7 linked regions of the Cricetulus griseus genome follow. The protein of the gene in region 2 binds, or shares a complex with, the protein of the main gene of each other region. Links are inferred from orthologs where the notes say so. Each region holds a gene or a part of one and is shown on either strand. Other genes may lie near its edges.

The links.
Region 1: Gpkow (region 2) and Snrpd2 share a complex: the UniProt entries of both Homo sapiens proteins name them as parts of the minor spliceosome. The link is inferred for Cricetulus griseus from reciprocal best matches to the Homo sapiens genes GPKOW and SNRPD2.
Region 3: Gpkow (region 2) and Scnm1 share a complex: the UniProt entries of both Homo sapiens proteins name them as parts of the minor spliceosome. The link is inferred for Cricetulus griseus from reciprocal best matches to the Homo sapiens genes GPKOW and SCNM1.
Region 4: Gpkow (region 2) and Snw1 share a complex: the UniProt entries of both Homo sapiens proteins name them as parts of the minor spliceosome. The link is inferred for Cricetulus griseus from reciprocal best matches to the Homo sapiens genes GPKOW and SNW1.
Region 5: Gpkow (region 2) and Dhx16 share a complex: the UniProt entries of both Homo sapiens proteins name them as parts of the minor spliceosome. The link is inferred for Cricetulus griseus from reciprocal best matches to the Homo sapiens genes GPKOW and DHX16.
Region 6: Gpkow (region 2) and Plrg1 share a complex: the UniProt entries of both Homo sapiens proteins name them as parts of the minor spliceosome. The link is inferred for Cricetulus griseus from reciprocal best matches to the Homo sapiens genes GPKOW and PLRG1.
Region 7: Gpkow (region 2) and Cwc15 share a complex: the UniProt entries of both Homo sapiens proteins name them as parts of the minor spliceosome. The link is inferred for Cricetulus griseus from reciprocal best matches to the Homo sapiens genes GPKOW and CWC15.

The regions. Positions count from the first base shown.
Region 1 is NC_048602.1:28,213,612-28,217,643, forward strand, and holds the start of Snrpd2 (small nuclear ribonucleoprotein Sm D2), read right to left. Parts: upstream 2,801-4,032; 5' UTR 2,647-2,800; coding exon 2,645-2,646; intron 538-2,644; coding exon 358-537; intron 1-357. Other genes in the region: Qpctl (glutaminyl-peptide cyclotransferase-like protein), read left to right, coding at 3,370-3,579, 3,950-4,032. UniProt on the Homo sapiens protein: Plays a role in pre-mRNA splicing as a core component of the spliceosomal U1, U2, U4 and U5 small nuclear ribonucleoproteins (snRNPs), the building blocks of the spliceosome.
Region 2 is NC_048604.1:114,159,224-114,163,165, reverse strand, and holds the start of Gpkow (G-patch domain and KOW motifs-containing protein), read right to left. Parts: upstream 2,801-3,942; 5' UTR 2,719-2,800; coding exon 2,549-2,718; intron 1,640-2,548; coding exon 1,479-1,639; intron 1,378-1,478; coding exon 1,253-1,377; intron 1-1,252. UniProt on the Homo sapiens protein: RNA-binding protein involved in pre-mRNA splicing. As a component of the minor spliceosome, involved in the splicing of U12-type introns in pre-mRNAs.
Region 3 is NW_023276806.1:61,367,317-61,371,377, forward strand, and holds the start of Scnm1 (sodium channel modifier 1), read left to right. Parts: upstream 1-1,261; 5' UTR 1,262-1,377; coding exon 1,378-1,428; intron 1,429-1,813; coding exon 1,814-1,884; intron 1,885-2,123; coding exon 2,124-2,212; intron 2,213-2,309; coding exon 2,310-2,404; intron 2,405-2,504; coding exon 2,505-2,593; intron 2,594-3,939; coding exon 3,940-4,061. Other genes in the region: Lysmd1 (lysM and putative peptidoglycan-binding domain-containing protein 1), read right to left, coding at 281-476, 1,028-1,140. UniProt on the Homo sapiens protein: As a component of the minor spliceosome, involved in the splicing of U12-type introns in pre-mRNAs. Plays a role in the regulation of primary cilia length and Hedgehog signaling.
Region 4 is NC_048598.1:116,328,735-116,332,234, reverse strand, and holds part of Snw1 (SNW domain-containing protein 1), read right to left. Parts: intron 2,822-3,500; coding exon 2,668-2,821; intron 1-2,667. UniProt on the Homo sapiens protein: Involved in pre-mRNA splicing as component of the spliceosome. As a component of the minor spliceosome, involved in the splicing of U12-type introns in pre-mRNAs.
Region 5 is NW_023276806.1:229,782,775-229,786,895, forward strand, and holds the start of Dhx16 (pre-mRNA-splicing factor ATP-dependent RNA helicase DHX16), read left to right. Parts: upstream 1-1,321; 5' UTR 1,322-1,495; coding exon 1,496-1,702; intron 1,703-2,951; coding exon 2,952-3,196; intron 3,197-3,300; coding exon 3,301-3,466; intron 3,467-3,916; coding exon 3,917-3,973; intron 3,974-4,121. UniProt on the Homo sapiens protein: Required for pre-mRNA splicing as a component of the spliceosome. Contributes to pre-mRNA splicing after spliceosome formation and prior to the first transesterification reaction.
Region 6 is NW_023276806.1:71,276,789-71,280,288, reverse strand, and holds part of Plrg1 (pleiotropic regulator 1), read left to right. Parts: intron 1-1,627; coding exon 1,628-1,729; intron 1,730-2,598; coding exon 2,599-2,691; intron 2,692-3,500. UniProt on the Homo sapiens protein: Involved in pre-mRNA splicing as component of the spliceosome. Component of the PRP19-CDC5L complex that forms an integral part of the spliceosome and is required for activating pre-mRNA splicing.
Region 7 is NC_048597.1:127,979,322-127,982,821, forward strand, and holds part of Cwc15 (spliceosome-associated protein CWC15 homolog), read left to right. Parts: coding exon 1-15; intron 16-1,384; coding exon 1,385-1,492; intron 1,493-3,500. UniProt on the Homo sapiens protein: Involved in pre-mRNA splicing as component of the spliceosome. Component of the PRP19-CDC5L complex that forms an integral part of the spliceosome and is required for activating pre-mRNA splicing.

The sequences.
Region 1 (4,032 bases), on a different chromosome or scaffold from region 2:
TGGGATAGACAGATAAGACAAATTTTAGCCGGGCGTTGGTGGCTCACACCTTTAATCTTAGCCCTCAGGAGGCAGAGGCAGGTGGATCTCTGTGAGTTCGAGACCAGCCTGGTCTACAAGACCTAGTTCCAGGACAGCCTCCAAAGCCAGAGAAACCCTGTCTTGGAAAACAAAATAAAACAAAAAAACAACAAAAAGAGCACCCCACACTTTCTGATTTTTTATTTTGGAGGCTGGCCTCTAACATGATCATGGTGATCCCTCTGAGTGCTGAGATTACAGGAGTTTGTCACCAACTTACTATCATTATGCTTCTGGAATAACCTTTCCTTCAGGCCCCTCAGACTCAGTGCTCACCTATCAAAGGCCTTCACCCGTCCCAGGAGCTTTTTGTTGTTTCGACAGTTAATGAGCACTTGTGTGTTGTTCTTGACCGACTGTGTGAGCACCGAGAGGGGACCAGTGTTGAATTCCTCCTCTTCCCGCTTCTGCAGCTCTTCTGGGGTCATCTCACTCTTGGGTTTATTGAGGAGACTCCTGAATAGAAAAACCACGGGTGAGATGGGTGAGCTTGGAAGTGTGAGTGATCAAAGGCACTGTCCAGTGTCTCCTCAACCTGGTCCCCAAATGTCCTTTTCAGAGGTGGGAGAGACATTGTCTATTTAGCCCGTTCCAGCTGTCTAACCACCAAAACCTCTCCCACCCACGCATTCCCCACGTCTTCACTGATGGCAACTCTATTCAGCGGGTTCTCTAAGCTAGAACTCTACTGTTTAATTGATTTCTGTTTTGGTGACAGGATCTCCTATAGCCCAGGTTAGCCTTGAACTTGCTATATAACTAAGGACGACCTTCAATTCTCAATTCTCCTGACTCCACCTCCCAAGTTCTGGGATTACAGGAGTTCAACATCAAGCCCGGCACTCTCTTAAAGGAAATCTACCCTCACATCTTGTCATCTGCCTCTACGACATATCCAGAACCTGGCTATTTCTATCCATGGCCTAATCTTCCGTTACCTTTCTCCTGGTGCCCGCCATCCCCACAACAATGTCTTACTGTGTAACCCTGGCTGACCTGAGACTCAGACTATCCATCTCTGCCTCCAGACCTCTGGGATTACAGGCATGCTGCCACTATACCCAGAACCCAAGGTAGCCATGTACTCTGCCCACTGAGCTATAACTCCAGCCCAGTGTTGCATTTTCAGTCTTTTTTTTTTTTTTTTTTTTTTTGTGGTAGCTACTCAAATTTCTTCATCCGCACTCTCCATCATCTAACACGTTCTCTGGTCTTCCTACCCCATTCCTTTTACCAGCCCCAGTGAGAAAAACTTTCTCTCGGTGGCACGGACCTTTTATACACCGTGTGTCTAACTTAACAACCAGTCTGTGTAACACCTGCTTGGTGAATAAACACATCAAACCATGGCAGTAGCTTGCTACTCTGAGAGTCTCCAGGCAGATTGAAAAAGCCCCCCTGTCTGTTTTCTACCTTATCCTGGTTAAGTCCCTCATTATGATTTTTGCTTGTTTGTTTTTTTTGGAGAGCCTTTCACTATTTTTTAATAGAACTCCCTTCCCCTGCCGAGACCTTTATCCATTTACGGCTCCCATTTAAAATTACTATTACTTTTGGAAACGGTCTCCATGTGCAGCCCAAGGCTGGGCGCGAATTCACCATCCTCCTGCCTCACTCAGCCTCTCTTGGGCATGTGCCACCAGGCTCAGCTTTCCTCTTACAGCTCTTTTCACAAGACTCAGTACAGAGCAGGGTCCCACGCCCGTTATGCTGTCGGGGCTGGAGAGATGGCTCAGGGGTTAAGAGCACTGGCTGCTCTTCCAGAGGTCCTGAGTTCAATTCCCAGCAACCACATGGTGGCTCACAACCATCTATAATGAGACCTGGTGCTCTCTTCTGGCACGCAGTGTATACATGGTTAATAAATAAATATAACCACATGGTGATTTACAACCATCTGTAATGGGATCTGGTGCTTTCTTCTGGCACACACTGTATACATGGTAAGTAAATAAATAAGTAAATCTTTTAAAAATAAAAATGAGGGGGGCTGGAGAGGTGGCTTAGGGGTTAAGAGCACTGACTGCTCTTCCAGAGGTCCTGAGTTCAAATGCCAGCAACCACATGGTGGCTCACAACCATCCGTAATGAGATCTGGTGCCAGATCTGGTGCCTTCTTCTGGCACGCACTGTATACATGGTAAGTAAATAAATAAATCTTTAAAAAATAAAAATGAGGGGGGCTGGAGAGATGGCTCAGAGGTTAGAGCACTGACTGCTTTTCCAGGGGTCCTGAGTTCAATTCCCAGCACCCACAGGGTGGCTCACAACCATCTATAATGGGACCTGGTGCCCTCTTCTGGCTCGCACTGTCTACATGATGAATAAATAAATAAACTTTAAAAAAAAAGAAAAAGAAAGAAAGAAAGAAAGAAAAGAAAGAAGAAGCTGTCCGGCTCCGGAACTCCAGACCCGTCCTTCCAGGCCCCACGCCCGTCCCCTAACACCTCAGGAGGAACCTCTGCCCCCGCTACGAGCACCCCAAGCCGACAGTCCACCTGCTAAGCCGCCCGCGTCCCTCCCTCCACCTTCGCGTCCCCGCGGGAGCCCAGCCCGGCCTCACATGGTGGAGGTTTCGATCGCAGCTCACTCCCGCCTCCGCCGCGTTGCCGTGTAGCCTCCGGAGTAGAGCGAGCGGAAGGCGGGACTTCCGCCTCCCTCCTCTGGGATCACTTCCGTCGGCGCCTGCGCAACCCGCCCCAGCGGCGTGGGCGTGTCACGTTGCCATAGCGACCCGGCGGCGGCTCTCTGCCGTAGGAAATGCCTGGAGGGAGGATTCCATGTCAGTGAGGATCACAATAGGGGGACCCCCCCGCTCGCGACTAAACAAAAAGGGGGAGCCGCCGGGCCTGGCTCGAATTAACTCCCCGTCTGGGTGGAAGAAGAACGGGGGCGGGGAGGAGGCGGGGACACGACACACAGCTCCGTTTCCAAGCGCGCGGCGCCCGCCTCCTCCTGGGGGGGCGTGGCCTCGAGCGAGCCAATCGCCTCCTTGCTTCAGGGATGGGCGCCGCCCGTTTCTCCTTGATGGACACCTGAGGGCGGCGGGCGCGGCTTCCGCACGGTCAGCCGCCACTCATTGGCTGCGCCTCTTGCGTGGGGGGCGGGCCCTCGGGTCTGCGCACCGCCTTCTGGAGAAGAAGGAGCCAATCGCGGCCGTCTGCGCGACGATGCCGCCGCCGCTCTGCTTCCCTATTGGCTTGCGTAAGCGATAGGGGGGAGGGGCGGAGCCTGGCCTGGACTCAAACCTCAGTCTGGGACGACCGGCTTCGGGGCCCCGCTGCTGCCATGAGTCCCGGGAGCCGCGGGCGGCCCCGGCAGCGGCTCGGGGATCGCGGCGCGATGCAGCCGCCCTCGCTTTCCAAGCGCCGCCTGCTGCCGCGAGTGCAGCTCCTGCCCCTGCTGCTCTTGGCGCTCGCCCTGGGCTTGGCGCTCTTCATGGTCTGGAACGGCTGGCACCCCGAGGTTCAGGAGCTGTCACGCAGCCGGGATCTGCGGGTGAGGCCTGCCTGGGGCCCCGGTCCCTCCTCCGTTTCCCGTGCCGAGCGGGTGACATCTCTTTCTCCATCACTCAAGCAAGCGCACGCCCCTGCCTCGCCGTCCTGGAGATGCAGGCGGTCAGCCTAGCAACGCGGGCAGATCTGAGCTCCGCGCCCCAAGACATCTGTTTGCAAGGTTCCCGTCAGGGCTCTAATAGTAGCAGGGGCCAGATCTGCCTTGAAGACGCCCTCCCGCTCTAGGGTGTATGCATGTGAACTCCAAGTCTTTGCTGCACCACCAAGAAGAGTCAGGGCTCCCAGGGGGCAGCGGCGCCCAGGAGAGGGTGGGGATGGGGGGTTTTGTCTTCATTCTTCTCTTCCCCACCAAGGTCCCGCTGATTGGAAGCCTTCCGGAAGCCAAGCTACGGACGGTGGTAGGGCAGCTGGATCCGCAGCGTCTCTGGGGCACTTT
Region 2 (3,942 bases):
AGTTCCCAGCAATCACATGGAAACTTACAGCTACCATGGATATAGAGTGAGATCCTGTCTCAAAAAAGGGGTGGGGTGGAGAGAACAAAAAGCCTGATTGATACTGGTGGAGAAACGAAGACCACAAGTTCAAGGTCATTCTTGGCAACATAATGAATTCAAGGCCAGCTTGAACTACATAAAACTGTCTCAAAAAGAAAAAACCCAAAGCACATCTGAAGACTGATGAGAATAGTTCAGTTGAAAGATGTATTACAACAAATTTATGACTAAAAACTTCATTATTGGCGGGGCGTTGGTGGCGAACGCCTTTAATCCCAGCACTCGGGAGGCAGAGGCAGGCAGATCTCTGTGAGTTCGAGGCCTGGTCTCCAGAGCGCGTGCCAGGATAGGCTCCAAAAACTACACAGAGAAACCCTGTCTCAAAAAACAACAACAAAAACAAACAAAGCAAAAATGTACTGAGACATATCTCTTTCTTGTCTCACCAGACCCTAACCTTCCAGGCTTCATTCCTGCCACTCTTCTGAGTGTCCTTACCGCCTCTATCCTGAACTTAGGCTACTTGCTTCCCTCCTTACCTTCACTATTAGTCATATTTGGGTCACAGCAGCCAGAGGGGATCCTGTTACAACCCTTGTCAGCTCAGAATTTTCCCATAGCTCTCATTTCACTCACACTAAAAGAAAAAGTCCTCCCCGTGGCTCAGAAGGCCCTTTTGATCTGGTCACCTCTGCCTTCATCTATGGCCTGACCCCTCATTCATTCCAATCCAGTCACACTGGTTTCCTTAGAGTTCTTTACATACTACACGTTTAAAAAGAACAAGGAAAGAAGGAAAAAAAAGAGGAAACAAGCAAAAGTGGTTCCAAAGAGTGTGTACTCTTTCTTTCTTTTTTTCTGAGAGTTTCTCTGTGGCTTTGGAGGCTGTCCTGGAACTCACTCTGTAGACCAGGCTGTTGTCGAACTCACAGAGATCTGCCTGCCTCTGCCTCCCAACAGTGTGTACTCTGATAGCATTTGTATTTCCCATCCACTCTGCTGTCCACCTCTATCAGATAATACCAGAATTCAAGTACTTTTTGGGACAGCCTGCTATCTATTTGTTAAAGCTTCTAATAAGGATGGAAGGGAGAAAGGCTAGTTGGCAAGGCTCTGGGACACACATGCACAGTTTCCCTGCTATGTGCAAGGAGGCTAGCCAGACGGGGTAGAGGCAATGATGGGGGAGGATGGCAAAGGGGCAGCTCACTGTCTCAGCCTGAGGTTCGCTGTCTGTTCCTTCCCCACTGGGATTGCATCCTTTCTGGATCATGGGAATAGTGAGCGTGGGGTCAACACCTGCATTCTCCCTCTCCTCCAGGGACTTCTTGGATTCTAAGGAAGAATGGGAGGATCAATGAGGCCATACTCTATCCTTCCAACTTCCTCCTTGTCTACCTGTACTGGGGCAGAGCAAAGGGGGAGGTTTCACTTACCCTCAATGAGCTCCTTCACAGCCTGGGACAGCACACCATCTGACATTAATACAGTCTTAGTTTCTGAGGATGTCTTAGGGCTCTTGGCCAGTGGTTGCCTCCGAGAGCCATTCTGGATCAATGGGATGACTAGTTCCTTGGGGGCTTCTGGAGGGTTCACACTGATGTGGGGACAGAGAGAAAAGGTTAGGAAAGTACAAGTGTTAGAAAGTGGAGATATCTACACCCAGCCGAAGGACCATGTTCCACAAGTTATTTTTCCGCAGGTCCTCCCATTTCTTTTCGAAACAGTTATCTCACTATGTAGCCCAGTCTGGTCTTATAAACTCTGTCCTCTTGGTGCAACCTTTTAGTGCTGAAATTACAAGCAAGCATCACCTCTCCTCGTGTCCTCAGCTTTAAATGTGTCTTATGGAAATCATTCCTGGACTCTCAACCACAATGACTTACAAATCACCATCTTCGGTCGAGATTCTCCCCAGTTTCAGGCTAGCAAACAGCCTTCCGGACAGCTGTCTTCCATTAGTCCCTCCCTTAGGTCTTTCAGATCAGTTTCTTAATTATGCTGCTGATGGCCTCCCCAAACCTGTATTTGCCGCATTCTCCAAATCGGAGAAGCTTCCACTATTTCAGTTGAGACACTAAAAGTCTTGTCATTCTCCCTCCTTTTCCTTTCTCAAAACGCACATGTCCTCAAGTCCCAATGACTTTTTCTCTGAGGAATATATACCTTTGGTTATCAGGCGCCATTTTCACCCACCTCTCTAACAAACCTCCTCCTTGCCCTTAAATTATTAAATTTAATAATAAATTAAATTTTAATTATTTTTCTCTCTTTTTAAATATAGGCTCTCATACAGCCCAGGCTAGCGTTCAACTCTTGATCCTCCGGTGCCAACCTCCCGGGTCCTGACATTAATAAACATTTGCCACCACTCCCGGATGCCTCCATAAACTTCTTGAGGCCGTGTTTGAGGCCTTCTAAATCACTGTCATCAGGGCAAACAACTCGTATTCTGCCCTCCGCCCACCGCACCGATTTCCAAAACGTGAAAGACCCAGCGTTTCACCTCTGTAGCTCCCTTCCTTCCACGGTCGTTAAGAAATCTTTCTCCTCAGAGGCCCGTCCTGTGCCATCTCTGGGGTCTGTCAGTCGCCTCCGGGCAGACGTGCGAGTGAAACCGAAAGAAATCGGGGCCGTTGAAGGGGCAGCCCGCGGCACACTGTTTGGGTCCGCCATCTTGTCCCGAGTCCCAGGCTAGCGCACTGCTTGCTGGGAAGTTTAGTTTAAGCTCAATTCGCTAGGGGCCGGCCGAGACGCAATGCCTCAAGGACAGGTCTTGAAGCCGTGGGAAAAACCGATCACGCTGGTAAACGGTTTGAAATGTCATAGGAACGCGCCGCGCCGCGCATTCTGGGAAATGTAGTTCTCAGTGATATAACCGTGGTGGCAGATTGATTCTCCCTAGGTTTTCAACCATTTGTAATGCAGGTCTAGGGGATCCGACACTGTCTTCCGAACTCCGCAGGTGACACACATAAATAAATGCAGGCAAAATGCTTATATACACAAAATCGGGCTGGAGAGATGGTTCAGAGGTTAAGAGCACTGACTGTTCTTCCAGAGGTCCTGAGTTCAATTCCCAGCAACCACATGGTGGCTCACAACCATCCATTATGAGGTCTAGTGCCCTCTTCTAGTGTGCATATCTACATGGAAGCAGAATGTTGTATGCACAATAAATAAATAAATCTTTAAAAAATGCCTCTGCCTCTGCCTCTGCCGGGCTGGAATTTAAAGTGTTCACTACCACGCCCGGCTTACTTATTTTTATTTTGTGTGCATTGGTGTTCTGCCTGCATGTATGTCTGTGAGAGGGTGTAGGAGCTCTTGAAACTGGAATTACAAAGCAGGAGGAATTGTCACAAGTCTAAGACAAACTCTATATGAGCTGCCATGTGGATGCTGGGCATTGAACCTGGGTTCTCTGGAGGAGGAGCCGGTGCTCTTCACCTCTGAGCCATCTCTCCAGCCCTGGAATACTTTCTATGTTGCAGTTTTCTGAGCTTTTGGATGAGGCAATGTCTTCTGGTCTTCGGCATAAAGGACAGGGAACTGCCAGGCTGGGACCCCTTTGCCTGGGTGCTAGCTCTTTCTTTCTTTCTTTCTTTCTTTCTTTCTTTCTTTCTTTCTTTCTTTCTTTCTTTCTCTCTCTCTCTCTCTCTCTCTCTCTCTCTCTCTCTCTCTCTCTCTCTCTCTTTCCATCCCTCCCTCCCTCCCTCCCTTCCACCCTCTCTCTCCCTCTCTCTCTTTCTTGGTGAGAGCAGGACTGTTGTTGCAAGTTCAGCCTTAACAACAGGTGGTGGTTGGGAGGGTCAGAATATATATTCTTTGAAATTCCTCCCTCTCCCCTTTTTAGACAGGGTCTCATTATAAGCAATGAGTGGCCTAGAACCCACCGAC
Region 3 (4,061 bases), on a different chromosome or scaffold from region 2:
AAGATCCAAATAGGTTAATGGCTATAAACCACACCCCAACCACCACCCTATCCCGGCATCCAACCCAATCCAAGGAGCTGCTCCTCCCACTGGGATAGTAGGGCAGGTCTGTGAGTGTGGATAGTGCTACCCTGAGAGGTGTAAACAAAATAAGACAAAGCAGAGACCACAATATAATTAATATAACATCAGGGAAGGCCGCTTAGCAGACCACCCAGTTTCTCCTGGGCACTAAATCTCTCCTGAATGGTCACCACACCACAATCCTTGGAAGACTCACCGTCACCCCGTATTTGAGTGCTAGTCCAGCCAGGGTGTCTCCAGGCTCCAACTGATGCTCCAAGCGTCTTTCCCTCACCGGGGAGCACGATGATTGTACCAGGCTTCCATAAGAACGAGCACGGCTCCCATGCAGCAGCCCTGACCCCCCAAGTGGGGGCTGTCTAGAGGGAGAAGCCATCTCAAGATGCCAAGATCTAGGGTCACAACTGAGGAAAGCTAAGTGACCAACAGTGAGGGCCGAACCCCAGGAATGGATAGATATTCTAGGAATTCCTTCTCACTTCTCTCTTTAGTGTCCCCGCTCTCGAGAGACTACATCAATGCTCCTCTTGCTGCTGCTTACCGAGCTTGGGGTCACAGTCCGTACCCTAAGAAGGCTGCCAGGCCGGTTACATTTCTCCTTCCTCAAGACCCTTGCCCATAAATATCTTCCCTGAGTGGTCGGTCGCCGACCCCTTCGACTTTCGACGCCCTCTCCCCAACTCCTTGCAAGCCTGATCTCTGACCTTTGAACCCTAGACACCCTCATCAACACTCTCCCCTCAGTGTGTCCCCACGTCCCGCAGCCGGGCCGCCGGGAGCCCCCACATCCTCTCTGCTCCAAATCAGGCCCACCCCAGGTAGATCGTGGCTGTGGACGGTGAGCCTGGGGACTGAGAGAGTTTGCAGTACACGGTCCACTGAGATCCCCGAAGCCTCGCTCCACGCCAGGAGGGTCCCACCCTGAAACTCCGGCTCCACGTACAGGTTCTTGGTCTCCAAACACCTGGGTCCTTCGCGATGTGAGTGCCTGTACTCAGGTGAGCGGTGAGGTCTTTTAAAAACAACAAAAAAAAGAAAATAACTAAAAGACTTCATTTCCCAAAAGGCAAAGCGTTCTCAGGGCATCATAGGAAATGCAGGCACCCTCAGGGCTCTGGAGGCGGGTCTTCCGGCTCGCGCGGTGCATGCGTGGAAACGCATCCCCGGAAGTAAAGACTTAATCAGAAAAAGACCGGAAGCAGGGAAGGCGATAACCTACTCTTCCTACGGTGGCCCGAAGGAGAGGCAAAGTAGGCGTAGGAGAATTTATTATTTCTAAGACTCACAGTCGTGATGTCTTTCAAGAGGGAAGGTGACGACTGGAGTCAGCTCAATGTGCTCAAAGTAAGCCCTAGTGAGAGTCTACCCACGAGCAGTGGTGGCGCACGCTTTGAATCCCAGCACTTGCGAGGCAAAAGCCGGTGTGTCCGTGTTGCGTTTGAGGTTCGAGGCCAGCCTGGTCCACACAGCCAGCTCTAGAACAGTCAAGGCTACACGAAGAAACCCTGTCTCGAAAAATCAAAGAACTAGAGAGAGGGAGAGCCCAGCTTCAGTCGCGCTTTGCATTGTTTTGTTGCTCTGGCGACATCTGTGGGAGGGGGTTTCGGGGGCCAGAACTGAGTGATGCCTCCTCCTTCTTACCCTATGGTCTGCTCCATTTGACTCTTTATCCCTGTTATTTCTTTTCATCCATCCCTCATATTCGTTTCTCCTGTCCTGCTCTCTGCAGAAACGAAGAGTTGGAGACTTGCTGGCCAGTTACATCCCAGAGGATGAGGCGCTAATGCTGCGGGATGGACGGTGAGAGCAGAGTGGATCAAGCCTGGGGATTTGCTATCAGAGGCTCAACAGACTTTGGTTTCTAAGGAGATCAGGAGTGTAATAGATCCTTTGGTTGGAAGTGAAGATTGGAAGAGGTGGCGATCGGGAGACCTGGGCGTTGGTGGAGTGCTTTGACAGGCATAGCCCCTAAGTAGGAACACCCCAACCACCGGCTCTCCAACACATACGGGTTTGCCATTCACTTCTCTTTTCCCTAGCTTTGCTTGCGCTATCTGCCCCCATCGACCAGTCCTGGACACGCTGGCCATGCTGACTGCCCACCGTGCAGGCAAGAAGCACCTATCCAGTAAGTACAGGAGAAGGCGGGGAGTGGAGGAATGATAGAGAATACACTCTGAACATTTTGTCAGTCTACTTGATGTTGTGCTTGCTTTCCTTTTCAGGTTTGAAGCTCTTCTATGGCAAAAAGCAATCAGGCAAGAAAACAGAGCAAAAACCAAGACAGCAAAATGAATTGAAGACAGAAAGCAAAGCCGAGGTGAGAGATCTGGTCAGGTGTTGTTCAGGCAGGGCTGTACTGCATGCAACAGGACTTTTGCCTAACATCTCCAACTGTGTCTTCTTCTCTTGATAACCAGGCACCTTTGCTAACCCAGACTCGATTAATCACCCAGAGTGCTCTGCACAGAGCTCCTCACTATAGCAGTTGCTGCCGGAGGAAGCACAGGTCTGTAGAGGGGGAAATCCGGAAGTGGGAAAGGGTAGAAGGAAATAGATGGTTCTGAAGTTACTGCTCTCCAAACTGTACTCTGAGAAACACTAATCTTGTGGAGATGTTGTTTAAAGAAAAATGATAGTTTGTGGTTTGTTTTGTTTTTGTTTTTTGTTTTGGTTTTTCAAGACAAGAGTTTCTCTCTGTAGCTTTGGAGCCTATCCTGGCACTTGCTCTGGTGACCAGGCTGGCCTCGAACTCACAGAGATCCCCCTGCCTCTGCCTCCTGAGTACTGCAATTAAAGGCGTGGGACACCATCGCCTGGTGATAGTTTGTGATTTTAAAATAAATTTTAGCCGGGTGTTGGTGGCTCACACTTTAATCCCAGCACTCCGGAGACAAGGCAAGTAGATCTCTGATCTATAGAGTGAGTTCCAGGACAGCCAAGTCTACACCAAACAAACAAAAACCCTGCCTTGAAAAACAAAATAATGCACACACACACAAAAAAATAGTAACATTATTGCTGGATGGTGGCACACGCCTTTAATCCTGGCACTCCAGAAGCAAGGCCAGTGGGTCTCTGAGTTCCAGGCCAGCCGGGGCTACAGAGGAAAAAAAAAAAAAAGTAACATAATCTGGGCATAGTGGTACACTTTTTTGTTTGTTATTGAGAGGGGATCTCCCTTTGTAGCCCTGGCTGTCCTGGAACCCTGCTATTTAGACCAGGGTGGCCTCAAACTTACAGAGATCTGCCTTTCTCTGCCCCTTAAGTGCTGCAGGTACTAAAAGTGTGTACCACCATACCTGGTTATGGAAAATCTTGAGGCAAAAGCGTAGAACTATTAAGCTGGCTTTTCTCAAGTTCCTAATTCCAAAATCTTTCATATGTAAAATATTTAAGATCTTATGGAACTCAAGCTGGGTGTGGTGGTATACACTTTTAATCCCAGTACTTAGGAGGCAGAGGCAAGTGGATCTCTGTAAATTTAAGGACAGCCTCATCTACCTAGTAAATTCCAGGTCCATCATATGTACTCTATCTCCAAAAAAGCAAACAAAAAAACCTCAGGAACTAGCCAGGCAGTGGTGGCTCACGCCTTTAGTCCCAGCACTCTGGGAGGCAGAGGTAGGCAGATCTCTGTGAGTTCTAAACCAGCCTGATCTACAAGAGCTAGTTCCAACAGCCTCCAAAGCCACAGAGAAACCTTGTCTCAAAAAACCGAGGAAAAGAAAAAAAAAAAAAACAAAAAACTCAGGAACTCAGTTTAGGAAACACTGCTCTTCAGGCTTGGGAGGCACGGGGAAGCTGCTACTTTCCTTCTGTGCATTTAACAGGCTTGGTTTCTTTTCTCCCCAGACCAGAGGCTCCTGCTCCCTCTGTCTCCAGTTCTCCTTTGCCTGCCCCAGAGGTTGGACTCCAGAGTGCAAAGATCAGTAGGGAACCTGAGACTAAGGCAGGATCACATGCCAAAGAGTCAT
Region 4 (3,500 bases), on a different chromosome or scaffold from region 2:
GATTAACGGCACAGACCACCAAGCCTGGTTGCCCTAATAGTTTTAAATCAATAAAGTCTGTGCAAATCCTCCAAAATCCAAAAAAACCAAAAAAACAACTCCCCCCTCGATGAAATCTGAACTACTTCTGATACTAAGTATAGTACATAAGGCACACTCAACCCATATTACCAAGAATGTTATCAAAAACACTGAAATTCATTAATAAGAGGGTATTTATTGAAAAACAAATTCATTTTTATAAGACTTTTTCCCACACAGTATTTCATTAGATCTTGGCACAATATGCTTATTTACTGGAGAGAGCTGAAAATTTTGAAAACCAACAGAAGTAAAAAGAGATATTTTCTTGTAAATTAGGCAGAAATAGTCTTCCTAAGAAAAGTGCTTCCTGTATCCAGACCATCAATTTGACATATGCTCAGATTTGCTGGAGTTCTTCAACTATAATCAGCACTTCAGAACTGTAGCTGTAGCATTATGTGGTCATTAAGGCTGCCAGAAAATCACAGCTTTTACTCTGAAAACTAGAACAAAATGCCTTCTTCCCAGAACAGTCACTCCCCTCAAAGCATCCCTGGCATTTTCAGATTAGCTGGCCATTTGAGTTTGATTTCCAAATGAACTACTCTGCTCCACCAGGACAGAGGAAACCTTTGATAATCAATTAAGACTATAAGGCTAACAGCCACCAGATGTCATAAAGCTCAAAGGCTCCCTTGTACAGAAAATGAGGCCTGCTGTCCCCACCCTGTAATCTGGGGACAGGCGCCCCAAAAGCACATCTATAACCTCTCAAAAGGGATAGCAACTACAATTCTATCATGTCAGTCACCACTACCTTTTGGTTCCAGACAGGAAGGTATTCCAGTCTCTTGGAAAACTTCTCTCTATCTTGCTGTACATCTCACTAATTCCAGAGAGAACAAAATCAAGAACAAAATCCTTTACTAACAACAGCAAGACTTCCCTTCATATAGCAGGATGCATAAAGACCAGATGAAAATAGAGACAAAAACAAAACAAATCCCCAAACAACAAAGAAAACCACCCAAACCCCAGGGCTATGCGGATCGAGGCAGGGAGGGTTTTCTTAGGTGCTTATTTTCTAGTGGGCAGCGGCATGGTAAACATGGGAGACAGTGCACACAGCTTCAGACAAGATGGTAAGCAGTGTTCTATTCAAAGACCATAAATACGCCTGGTGGCAGACACCTCATCTGTAAGGCCACATCATTGCCATGTAAGAAAGTGATACAAGGGGCTGCTCTTTGCAGAGAACTCAGGTTTGGTTCCCAGGACCCACAGGGTGGCTCATAACCACTTGTGACTCCAGTTTCACGGGATCCAAGGCCTCTTCTGACCTCCAAGGGCATTGCATGCATGTGGCACACAGATACACAGGCAAACAGCCATACATATAAAATAAATGAACCTTAAAAAACAAAACAAAAAAGAACAACAATAACTGGGTACAAAAATGATGTAGTTCATTCATAACGTTATTGCAAAATTAGGAAATGAAAAAAACAAAAACCAAAAAACAAAAACCTGTAGCAATAAGGTGGCGCATGCCTTTAATCCCAGCACTTGGGAGGCAGAGGCAGGTGGATCTCTCGAGTTGGAGACTAGCCTGGTCTACAAGAGCTAGTTCCAGGACAGCCTCCAAAGCCACAGAGAAACCCTGTCTCGAAAAACCAAAAAAAAAAAAAAAAAAAAAAAAAAAAGGAAAATATACTGGGAAAGAGAAAAGGCTTAATGAAAGCAGAGATTTTTTTGTTTGTTTGTTTTCTAGACAGTGTTTCTCTGTGTAGCCCCTGTCTGTCCTGGAACTCACTCTAGACCAGGCTGGCCTGGAACTCAGAGATCCACCTGCCTCAGTCAAGGAAATTTGTTCTTTGGTGACAGACAAATCATAGAGGTATGATCCAACCATTCTAAATTCTTCTCTGCTTATACTCACTTCTAAAGAAGTATGTAACATCATGACAGGCGTGTGCTAACGTTCTTGAACTGAAGGTTTCAAAAGCAGAGAAATAACTCCGCAAAGGAGACACCATGGGCTTTTTCCTCTACAGGAAAGTTACCTCTCAGAGTTACGGCGTGGTTTTATTCTCATTGTTGGAGGTGGGGCGGGAGTGAACACAACTCAAATGCAAAGCCCACTCTGATTCTTCCCCTTTCAAAGATTTCACATTTTTATTTATTATTAATAGTATGTGTCTGTGCGTATGTGACAGAGAGGGAGGGATGGAAGGGAAGGAGTAAGAAAGAGAGAGAGACGAGTGGGGCGCATTCACATGCCATAGTGCTTATAAAAAAGTTCCAGGGACAGGTTCTGGGAATCACACTAAAATCGTCAGGTTTGTGTGACAACAGCCGTTGCCTGCCGGCCCCATCTGTTCCTTCTTTTATTTGCATCTTACTCTCCTATTATTGTTCATGGGCTGGAAGGCCTACATTTGTAAAAGAATGCTCGGTCCTTTTGTACCAGTTCAATAGTGAAGCACAGTAAGATGAAACAGTGACTGTCTGCTGATCTCAAACCATGACAACAAGCATGTTCCTCCTTTCAGAACTTACCCCCATGACTTCCGTTAATGAACATCCTCCAGAGTTTACATTTATTTTACAAGTGTGAAGTAATAAATTTCAGCCTGTACTTACCTCTAACAATCGAGGAATCCAGCCTTTCCGATACCCGTATGGGGGAGGCTCCCTTCTTGAGGAGACCAGTGAGGTCTGCCGAGATCTCTGAGATCTTGCTCTTTCTTCAGCTTCAAGTTGGTCCTGAGATAGTTGTGTGGGCGCAGGTAAAAAGCTACAGGAAACCAGAATTAAAAAAAAAACACATTTAATTATTACAATTCAGCTACAATTTTCCTTTGTTCGGCCAATAGACTTTTCAATGATTTATAGAAGCATCCAATATTTATCACTTTCTTGTGTGTGGAAAGGAAATACTCAAAGACACAGAGAAACCCCTTCCTTGACTATGTATGTCAAGGGCAAAGGGTTGTTCAGACTTAAAAACTAAGAGGTATTTTTACAGTTGACAAGCTACCGAATTCTGCACTTCCATAGTTTACACAGAAGCCAACCTCCAGTGCACTGTTTCCTAAGACTCCTACCTGACTTTTGTTTTTGCAAAGTCTACTTATGTAGCCCAGGATGGTCTTGAACTTGCTACCTTCTGGCCTCAGACTCTGGAGCTGAGTTTATAGATAAATATTAACACAGTTATTTTTGTTTTTTGTTTTGGTTTTTTTTTTGAGACAGACAGGGTCTTATATAGATCAGGCTACTTCCCCAGTGCTGGGATTAAAGGCCTGCACCACCAGGCCTTTAATATTTGTCTGGACAACTTGTGGGAGTCAGGTCTCTCTCTCCACTATGTGGTTCTCACAGATTATTGGCAAGTTCTTTTATTCACTAAGACATCTCTGGCTGGCCCTGTACCCCAAACTTTTAAGTTACATTCTACTGCCTTAATCTAGCCA
Region 5 (4,121 bases), on a different chromosome or scaffold from region 2:
TGGTGCCGATACGAAGGCAAGCACGCATGCACATAAATAATTAAAAAAAAAAATCTTAGGGAACCTGCATAAGACCAAACTAGACTCCCTTATCATAGGTGACAATGGTGTGACTGGGACAATATATGAGGCCACTGGCAGTGGGTCCAAGATCTAACTCTAATGCACAAACTGACTTAGTGGAGCCCATCCTACGTGGAGAGATACCTTGCCAAGCCTAGACACAGGGGTGTGGGGCTGGAGAGGCGCCTTGGTCCTGCCTCAGTGAGATGATGGGACAGACTTAGTAGACCTCCCTGGGGAGGCCTCACCCTCTCTGTGGAGCAGATGGGAGGAGGGGGAGTGGAGGGAGGGGTGGAAAGGAGGGAGGGGGAACTGGGATCGGAATATAAAAAGTAAATTAATAATAAAAAAGAGAAAAAAATCTTTTATTTATTTATTTATTTTGGTTTTTAGAGACAGGGTTTCTTGTGTAGTTTTGGAGCCTATGCTGGCACTCGCTCTGGAGACCAGGCTGGCCTGGAACTCACAGAGATCCCCCTGCCTCTGCTGGGATTAAAGGGGTGCACCGCCAACGACCGGCGAGAAAAAAATCTTAAGATACCGGAACTCCCGCCCAACATACATATTTCTAGTAAGTAGCTTTAAATTACTTTTTAAAAATAGTTTTAATTGCCGGGAGGTGGTGGAGCACGCCTTTAATCCCAACAGAGACAGGTGGATCTCTGTGAGTTTGAGACCAGCCTGGTCTATAAGAGTGAGTTCCAGGACAGCCTCCAAAAGCCACAGAGAAACCCTGTCTCGAAAAACCGTGTGTGTGTGTGTGTGTGTGTGTGTGTGTGTGTGTGTGTGTGTGTGTGTGTGTGTGTGTGTGTGTGTGTGTGTGTGTGTGTGTGTGTGTGTGTGTGTGTGTGTGTGTGTGTGTGTGTGTGTGTGTGTGTGTGGTGTGTGTGTGTGTGTGTGTGTGTGTGTGTGTGTGTGTGTGTGTGTGTGTGTGTGTGTGTGTTTGGCGTTGGATTCCCCCTGGAGCTGGAGTTACGAATCGTTGGTTTTGAGCAATATGGGTGCTGGGGGAATCGAACTCGAGTTCTCTGAGCAATATCCCCAGCACCTTGTTCTATGCCTTGTTTCCTAAACCTTATTTCTCTTCCTTTTATCGCACTCTCTGGAAACGCTCTTTCTAGTACACAGGGCTGGTGCTGACCGAGCGCAACATCACCGGGTGGGGGCGGGCGAGCTTGCTGGGTGAGCATCGGGAAAGAGGCTGCGCGACTTGAACCCTCCCAGCCACCGTTAAGCTGCGGCCGGAAGAGCTCGACTCTTTCCGGGTTTGGCGGGTCTGGAAGCCAGTTGAGGGCTGCCCAGTCCGGCGCTCTGCGCTGGGAGACTCTACGGCCACCAGCGGTGCGGGGCCCGCGGCGCTGCAGATCGCTCCCGGCCCCGCCGCCGCCCTGGCTGGCTCGGCGGCTGCGCGCCCGGAGCGGGACGCGTCGCCATGGCGACGCCGGCGGGGCTGGAGCGGTGGGTGCAGGAGGAGCTGCACTCGGTGCTGGGGCTGAGCGAGCGGCACGTCGCGCAGTTCCTGATCGGCACCGCGCAGCGCTGCGCCTCGGCCGAGGAGTTCGTGCAGCGGCTGCGAGACACCGAAACTCTGGACCTTGGCGGGCCGGCGCGGGACTTCGCGCTCAGGCTCTGGAGCAAGGTGTGTGCCGTCCACCCGAGCTGATGTAGACCGCTCCACGCACGCACGCACGCACGCTCGTCTTTGGCCTGGTGATGGAGCGTAAGCTAGCAGTGTATCGGAGGATAGCCTGCAACTTTCAGTGTAGTGCACGGGCTGGCTTCGAACTTGCAGAGACACACAGAGAGAGAAAGACGGAGAGACAGAGAGCGCCTCCCATAGCAGAGAGACCTAGCACTCCCGCCCGGCTCTGCCAAACATCCACCTTTTGCCCTCTGTTACCCCAGGTACAGAGCTGTGGAGGAGACTTAGCAGAGAGGGCTGTGCAAGCATGCTTAAACCTAGGGTCCTGTTAGCCACGGTGAATACAGTGCAGCCCCCCCCCCCCCAGGGCTGAGGACGTATCTCAGTTGGTAGAGTGCTTGTCTAGCGTACAGTAAGTTTGGGGTTCAGTCCCAAGTACTGGGGGAAAGTCGCTGAGAACAGTGGAGCCGTGGGAATTAGCGATTTAGACATAGGATGGAGACCCGGAGAGAACCCTTGTTGCTCTTCGGGAGGACTGAAGTTCCCAGCATCCAGGTCTCTTGTGGCACACAGGTACCCATACACGTAAATAAATAAAAGATAAATGTGAAAAGGGAACTGGGTTGTAGAATGTAAACTACTTGAACTCTGGGCCTTTTTTTTTTTTTTTTAAATTCTGTTGTGGGGCTAGAGAGATGGCCCAGAGATTAAGGTCACTGGCTGCTCTTCCAGAGGTCTCTGATTCAATTCCAAGCACCCGCAAGGCGGCTCACAACTGTCTGTCACTCCAGTTCCAGGGGATCCAACACCCTCACATAGACACAATGCAGGCAAAACACATGCACATAAAAAATAAATCATTTAAAAAATATCCGTTTGGCCGGGCGGTGGTGACGCACGCCTTTAATCCCAGCACTCGGGAGGCAGAGGCAGGCCTGTGAGTTCGAGACCAGCCTGGTCTACAAGAGCTAGTGTTCCAGGACAGCCTCCAAAGCCACAGAGAAACCCTGTCTCAAAAAACCAAAAGAAAAAAAAAAATCCATTTGTGGGTGGATGTCCGAGGGCAACCTGTGGGTGCTGGGTCGCGCCCTCCACCATCGGGTAGTTTTCAATAATCATTTGCTAAACAGATGCATGGAAGGAAGTTCAGACGCTGAGGGCCCGATTGAGCAGAGAATGATGACGCCTGGTTTGAGCTCGAGGCTGAGGCAGGAGCTGCTCACAACCGCTTGTTTCCGACTCACAGGTACCACGGAAGGCTGTGGTAGAAAAGCCAGCTCGGGCAGCTGAGCGAGAGGCCCGAGCCCTGCTGGAGAAGAACCGATCTTATAAGTTGCTGGAAGACAGCGAGAGCGGGGAGGAAGCGGTGGGCAGCGATTCGAGCAGCCTCCAGAAGAAGCGGAAAAGACGGAAACACCTCAGGAAGAAACACCACGAGGAGGAGGAAGAGGACGAGGAAGAGGTTTCTGAGGCAGGGAAGAGGAAGACGGGGTAAGTCAGAACCGAGGAGAGAGGGAGCCGGGGCAGGTGGTTGGCCGTGGGGATGATACGCTTTCTCGATACCCCTCTTTGATGATGCGCTGGGCTGGGTTCAGGGACAGTAAGTCACCCACGGAGGAGAAGCCGGCCTCAGAGGATGAGTGGGAGCGGACAGAGCGCGAGCGTCTTCAGGACTTGGAGGAACGGGATGCGTTTGCAGAGCGGGTGCGGCAGAGGGACAAGGACCGGACCCGGAATGTCCTGGAGCGATCAGATAAGAAGGTGAAGAACAGGGCTGGAGAGATGGCTCAGAGGTTAAGAGCACTGACTGGTCCTCCAGAGGTCCTGAGTTCAATTCCCAGCAACCACAAGGTGGCTCAAACCACCTTGAGTGAGATCTGGTGCCCTCTGCTGGCCTGCAGGCAGAAGGCTGTATACATAACAAATAAAATCTTAAAAAAAAAAAAAAAAAGGTGAAGAACATTGCTAGGTACATCTGGATTTGGTTGCAGAGGTGTCGCTGGGAAGACAAGGGTTGTCGCTAGGGTTCCTGTGTGGGGAAACAGGGTCCTGTGAGCTTTCTGGTTAAGGGCCTCACTGCTTGGTGGAAATCACAGAGGCTCTTCACTGAGAAGGGGCAGTGAAGGACATTTGTCATTCTGAGGGGAATGGTCGTAGATGTGCATATCTTTTGGGCCTCATGACCCTATTTACCTGATTTCTTCTACCCAGGCTTATGAAGAGGCTCAGAAACGCCTCAAGATGGCTGAGGAAGACCGGAAAGCCATGGTGAGACCCCGGGTTCAAGAAGCAAGATCCAGGGCTGGAGAGAGATGGCTTAGAGATCAAGCTGGTCCTCCAGAGGGCCTGAGTTCAATTCCCACCAAAACAAGGTGGCTCACAACCACCTGTAATGAGATCTGGTGCCCTCTTTCTG
Region 6 (3,500 bases), on a different chromosome or scaffold from region 2:
GGTGATGCTGATGGTAGCTTCTTAGGTTGTGCATTCTTTATTCGAAGTGCTTGGACTGCAAGTGTTTCAGATTTTAGGTTTTTTTTTTTTTTTTTTTGGCTTGGAATATTGACAAGCATGTTTTAAACTTAATTACACATTTTTTTTGACATTTCATAAATGTAAAAATGCATTCTGATTACTCTCTCCTTCCAACCCTTTAGCCTTCCTCAACCCTCCTTTGTACTTCATGTCTTTATGTTTTGTTTAGTCGCCAACTGGGTTTAACCAGACTTTGTGTAGACCATGGGTTTGGAATTATCCACATGAGCTTGCTGGACTCAGTGGTAGATACACACCTGAAGAGAATGACTCCTCTCCCAAAATCTCAGTAGTCAGTAGTTCAGCAGGTAGGGGTAGGCCCCATGTACCCCTCCCTATCCACATCTGTCTGTTGATGGGGCTAGTCTTCTGTAGGTCCATCGCAAGATTACAGTGTCTGTGTTAGGCTCAGAAGGTGGCATTGCTCAGCTCTCCTCCCTATCCTTTGGCTCTTAGATTCTTTCCACATCCTCATCTGCAGGGTTCGCTGAGCCTTAGAGGAGAGGGTATAAATGTCTTACTTAGTGTTGAGCACTCAACTGTTACTTGCTGTCAGAACCTTGAACAGCCATGAGTCTTCTGCATTTATGACTATGACCTGAAAGAGAAATTCATCTCATTGTGGCCAGGAGTAGCATTTGTCTATGGGTATAAAGATAGATATATAGAAGACTTCCTAGCCATATGTTTTTTTGATCAGGTTTATAGTACCATGTATGGATTCCCTCCTTTGTAGCAGACCTCAAATCCAAGCAAAGAGCAGCTAATTACTCCTATAACAGTAATGCCACAAGTATACCAATGGCCACGTCTGGCCTAACTAGTTGTTATTGAAGTTTATAGGAGTCAAAGCTGGTTAGAACCATTGATGCCTTATCTCCTCTGAGAGCCTGTGCAGCACCTTCCCACTCTGTGAAAGCTGGCTAAGGAGAGTTTCCATTTCAGTTCCATCTTGTTTTCTCTGTATCTTGCAACCCAGGTGTGTGGTGTCTTTAACAATAGAGTCTTAATGTCTAGTTCTGGTGGGTAATATATTAGCATATATATTAGCTATTGCACACTCAGTGTGATACCTAAACTAAACGTGGCTGTTGGAACATTTGAAAGTTTAAATTTTTAGGTTAAGTATGCTCAACTTTTATCAGGTTGTGTATATTTTGAAATAATATTTAATTACTATTAGAAGATGGAGAGATAAAGGGAGGTTACCAAGTTTTTGCCTAAAGTTGATCAACTGTGGTTGGCTCAGTTGGGTTTGGAACTCCACAGTGATGTCTGCTCAGAGCTCAGGATTCTCTGTCTGCCTCAGGTGGTTTTTTAAAAGTATGGAACATACAGAGTTCTGATGGAGCTTTATACTTTTTTTTTTTTTTTTTTTTAAGGTTAAGAAAGGGTATTTTAGGTGTCTTTGTCTTCAGTTAATGGGGGGAAAAAAGAAAAAAAAAAAAAACCTTTTATATGTCCTTTCAATTTGTACTTTTGAATTGATGGCTTGAAACCTTCAATATGATAGCTGTAATAGTTGTGTGATCTGTCCCTCATCTAGATGATTATGGAGGCTGGCAATACCAAGAATTCTGCATTAATGGCTAAAAAAGCCCCTACGATGCCCAAACCCCAGTGGCACCCACCATGGAAACTCTACAGGGTAAGTGGGTCTGTACTTCCTTCTGCCTCGGTGCACATTAAAGGTTTCCCATCAGCCAAGAATGAGTTTGGGAACTTAGGGAGTGACCGAGGGGGTTGAGCTTTGGGCACTGTGCTTAGATGTCCAAGTGAAGCTGCTTAGTGTCTTGTTTCTAAATAAAATACAGTGTAAAGTATTGGTGGAAGGTACTAACTGTGGAGACCAGATAAGAGAGAAGTGTTTTCTGTGACAGAGAAGAAGATTCCTTAGAAAGATGTTTCTTTGACCAGTGGTCCTTCCAGCTGTAATAAATTATAAGATGACTCAAAATTCATCAGTTCAAAAATAAAATATGAGATAGAAAATGGACAGCCAGCATAAATTGCTTTTCAGACACTGTACCTTCTATACTTAATGTGTGGGTCTAATGGAAGTAACAGATGAGGATTTGAGTAACGACTGCCATAATCATGACACCATCTCACAGAGCACCCTGTACTATGGTAGTTATACACTCTTCTACTCCTGGCAACTGCTGATCCATTTTCTGTTATTATACTTGGCATCTTTAAAACAGAAAAACTATGCCATGAAATTGCAAGTGTATAATAGATGTTTCTTGATAATAGTGTCCTTCACTCAATGATTTTGAGATAAATTGCATCCCTTTTTCTTGGTTAGTAGTATTCCCTTGTCTAGATATGCATCAGTTTCAGTATTCATTTGCTCATTGAAAAGAAATTAATTTTGCTTGCTCTAAAATATGTAACTCAATTTTATAGAACTAATATTTGAAGGCGATGCAGTTCAAATCTGGGTTGTGGTTAACATTGGATACATTTTAAATAATGTATGGATGAGTCTACTTACTTCATTCTTTTGTTATATAGGTTATCAGTGGGCATCTCGGCTGGGTCCGATGCATTGCTGTGGAACCCGGAAATCAGTGGTTCGTTACTGGATCTGCTGACAGAACTATTAAGGTAGTAAGGAAGATGTTGGGTTTGTTTCTTAAGTTACTTCCTAGAGAGGATGATGTTATAGGTTTTTTTAAGATTGCTACATGCTGTAAAATTTACTGTCAAAACTGGTAACAATGCTGTTTTGCAAAGTGGCATTCAAAGTTGCTTTGGAAGCATGTTACTAGCCTTTTGTTAATTCTGTGTAACTGTTACTGAAGGAACTTTTCATCCTGGTTACAAAATGAACTCAGAGTTCTCTGTAGAGGTAGATGTAGTGAAAAGTGGAATAAGAGAGCCTAGACTGGCAGGTAGTACTATCACTGGTGGACAGACCCTCAAACGGATTTATTTTCGTATGTCTTTCTATTATTATTATTATTATTATTATTATTATTATTATTATTATTATTGAGTCTTGTTTTTCTCACATAGCATCATCTTGAAGGTCTATTCTTATGAAAAATTCAGGATTTTTAAATGGGTAGAATGTGCATATAATTCTATAAACTGTTCCTTACTGCTCAACATTAAAATTTTTAGTTTGATAATTTTCATTGGAATAAGCTTGCATTTGTTTTACATAGACTGCTTTTTGTATATTGTATTTTTGTTTAGATAGTCTACAAATGTTAGGACAAATGTCTTAGAACTGGTATGGAAAGTGCAAATTTCTTTCCAAAGTTAGTGAGCTGATAGTTGGTCCATCATGCTGACCACATAGCTCGTCAGAGGAGTGCACTTAATGTGAGCACTGGAAATGGACAGACACACAGACATGTAGTGAGGGTGAATATTTTTATCTTTGGTACTTTTCTGGATTAAGTTGCTAT
Region 7 (3,500 bases), on a different chromosome or scaffold from region 2:
GATCCTCTCACAGATGTATGTAGTTTTGGGGTTGGCTTTTTTGTTGTTGTTCTCTTTTTAACACCTCCTAAGTGCTAGAAATGGGCCTCTGCCATTGGGCCCAACTTGTCATATTTTCTTTATTTTTTTTTATTTTGACTTTGTGAAATGATCGGTATTTATTTTTACCTACTGTTACTGAAATGTATCATTTACCTCAACTTTAAACTTAATAATTGTTTTTAAAACAAAGTATTCTTCTGCCTCAAATCTTTTACTAGAGGTTTAGTTTGGAGGGCTGCATGAAAGCAGTCTGTGAAAAAGGACATGCCCACCTGTGACTGAATTGTCAGTCATGTAGAAGGTTAAGCTGCCTTGCTGTAACTCCACAGGACACTCTCAGGCTGAGTGCCTATGAACAGCACCTTTGAGCATTCTACCTAGTTCTGCACTTTCTTTTCCTTAGATACCATGTCCTACTTAGACACATAATGCACATGGGCCCCTCAATCTGAACAGATTGAGCATAAATGCTTACTGGGACCCTACAGCCTTTTGTTATTGTTGCTGTTGTTGTTGTTGTCTGTAGCTCAGGCTGGCCTAGTAATCACAGGCTTCCAGCCTTAGACTTCAGCCTCCTGAGTGCTGGGTTTACAACTGTGTCTACTACACCTGGCTCTCAACTTCACTTTGCCACTTTTTATAGAACTGAACATACAAGGATGACCTTTCTTAAGCAGTATCTAATTGCATACATATGTCAACAATTATAGAGTACACAGAGTTATTAAAATAAGAAACCTTACCTTAAGGGAAATTCTGTTATTCACTCAAAATATTTTCTTTTGGAATATTAGCATCCTCACCTACTAATCTAGTCATTTTGAGCTACATGAATGAACTCTTTTGAGGTGAGACACTGTACATTGTACTGTGTTTCATTCTGAAGCATTACTTGTTTTGGAATGTTTCCGTATGAAAATCCTTTTTGACCTGGTGGTGGTGGTACACATCTTTAATCCCAGCACTCAGGAGGCAGAGGCAGGTGGATCTCTGTTAGTTCAAGGTCAGCCTGGTCTAAAAGCAAGTTCTAGGACAGATAGAGCTGTTACACAGAAAACCTTGTCTTGACACTCTCTAGCCCCCCAAAAAAGAAAATCCGTTTTGACTATCTAAATATGAAAGGTACTTTATCAGGGGTTGGCATTTTAGTTAGTATTCATACATTTTTTTTTGTTGGGTTTTATTTATTATACTTTTATTGGTTGTTGGTCTTAACTATGATATTTGGTACATTTGCTTTTCAATTAGGAAAATTGATTCTATTCTAAAGACTTGGTGAATATAGTTTCTGTGAGAAAGTATATTTTCTTTCTGGATCCTGGGTCACCTTGATCTGTCATAGGAGGAAGATGAGGATTTTGAAGAGGAGAGCGATGATGATGATACGGCAGCTCTTCTTGCAGAGCTGGAAAAAATAAAGAAGGAAAGAGCTGAAGAGCAGGCCAGAAAGGTAATAGTGTTTGCTATTCACATCTCTCCATTACACATTTAAACCACAATTCTTTTTAACTCTGGTGGTATCATTTATTAGAAAGCACCATGTCCAAATACTGTAACACCTATAGATCTGTCTTTTTAAAATGGCATTCTACCTCCCCTAGTTACATTAAATTCCTTTCAGATAGTTCACACATGAATAATGCTCAATTTGCTTAAGAATAAGCTAGTGAACTTTAGTCTTCTAATTAAATGTAAGATAGTCTGCCTCACTTGTTCTCAACCTTCCTAATGCTGGGACCCTTTAACACAGTTCCTCATGTTGTGGTGATCCCAACCGTAAAATTATTGCTACTTCGTAATTATAATTTTGCTACTGTTATGAATCATAACGTAAATATCTGTGTTTTCCAATGGTTTTAGGCAACCCCTATGAAAGGGTGATTCAACTGCCCAGCCTCTCCAAAGGGGTTGCAACCCATAGGTTGAGAACCAATGGTCTACAAAGATTCTCTTCCTGTCTCCTGCTTAACTTGAGACATGTGTCTCAAAAAACTGAATAGGTTTTATACAATCCAAGCAAGTTACCTAACTGTTTAATACCCACAGTCTCTTCACCTATACAATGGGAGAAAATAATATCCAAGTCAAAGAATCAGTAAGCTAGGTCCCAGTGCTGAGAGCGCAGGCAGGTTTTCAAGGTTGAGGGCATCCTGGGCTACATAGCGAGACTGCCTCAAGAAAGTAGAGTGTGTACAACGGTGCTGGAGTTTGTAAAGCAATACTAAGGAAATTGGGGTTTTGCTTAGATGGGTTCATGGATTTCAGCAGGATTAATCAATCTTCTGGCAAAAGTAGAGAGATTGGAAAAAGTCTGAGGCTGTTTCAGTACTCCTCATATGCAATGAAATGAACTATAATCTGCATGGTGGGAGTTGAAAATCAGAACTAGAAAGATAGCTCAGTGATTAAGAGCACTGACTGCTCCTGCAGAGGACCCGAGTTTGATTCCCAGCACCTATGTGGTGGTAACATCTGAAACTCCAGTCTTAGGGAATCTGACACTTCTTTCTGGCCTCCTCAGTCACCAAGCATGAATGTGGAGCATAGACAAACCTGCAGGCAAAACACCAGATAAAATAAAAATTAAAAGAAAAATAGAATTGCAAGTGAGAGAGGTGTTAATGGTAAAGCTGTCAGGAAAGTAGGTAAATGATCTCCATTGTTGGGTGCGTTGTTTCTGTGGAGACAGAAGCCTGGGTCTGTTGAGAGAAAGAGGTGATTTTTATCTTGAACACAGATAGCATCAAGTTAGAGGCCTCTGCTCCATATTCAACCAAATCAGCACAGCTTTTGTGTGGATATTGGTGTGGGATTTTATTTCAGCCAGTAATTGTTTTGTTTTTTTAAAAAGAGAAAAAGACTTGAGGGAAAAGCACTCATGTGGACCAACACCAAGCACGTGGGGGAAAGAGTTCATGTGAGTCAGAAGGGTCAAGGAAGAATTCAGAAAAGAGGACATGGAACTCAGAGCTGTCCAAACTCAGGATAGAAGAAAGCATAACAGTTCTCATCAAGTAATGGTTCTCATTAAAGTTTGGCATAGAGTGCCACTCCTGTAATAAATAGTTTTATGTTTTGTATCTTTTTTTAATTTTCAAGAAGAGTCATTGGCATGCCACTAGTGGGCAACTGTTAAATGCCTAACTGTTGGTGGTTTTCTGATTGATTATTAAGGAATAAGTAGGCATTTTTTTAAGGTCTTAAGAATTATTGGAGTTTCATCTAATGTGTTGGTATTTCTAAGAGTTGAGTGACACCTTCACTTCTTTTTATTCCTGTCTCCTTAGCTGCTTTTTGAAGGTGTTTACAGTAGCAGCATATTCAAGCTAATTAGCCTGTTGTTAGGGATCAGCACACTTCCTGTAAGGACCAGACAGTAAATATTCTTGTGTGGCTGATCACCCAGACACACAAGTAGTGGCTCTGTTACTATTACAGCTCAGAAGTGGCCACAGTGC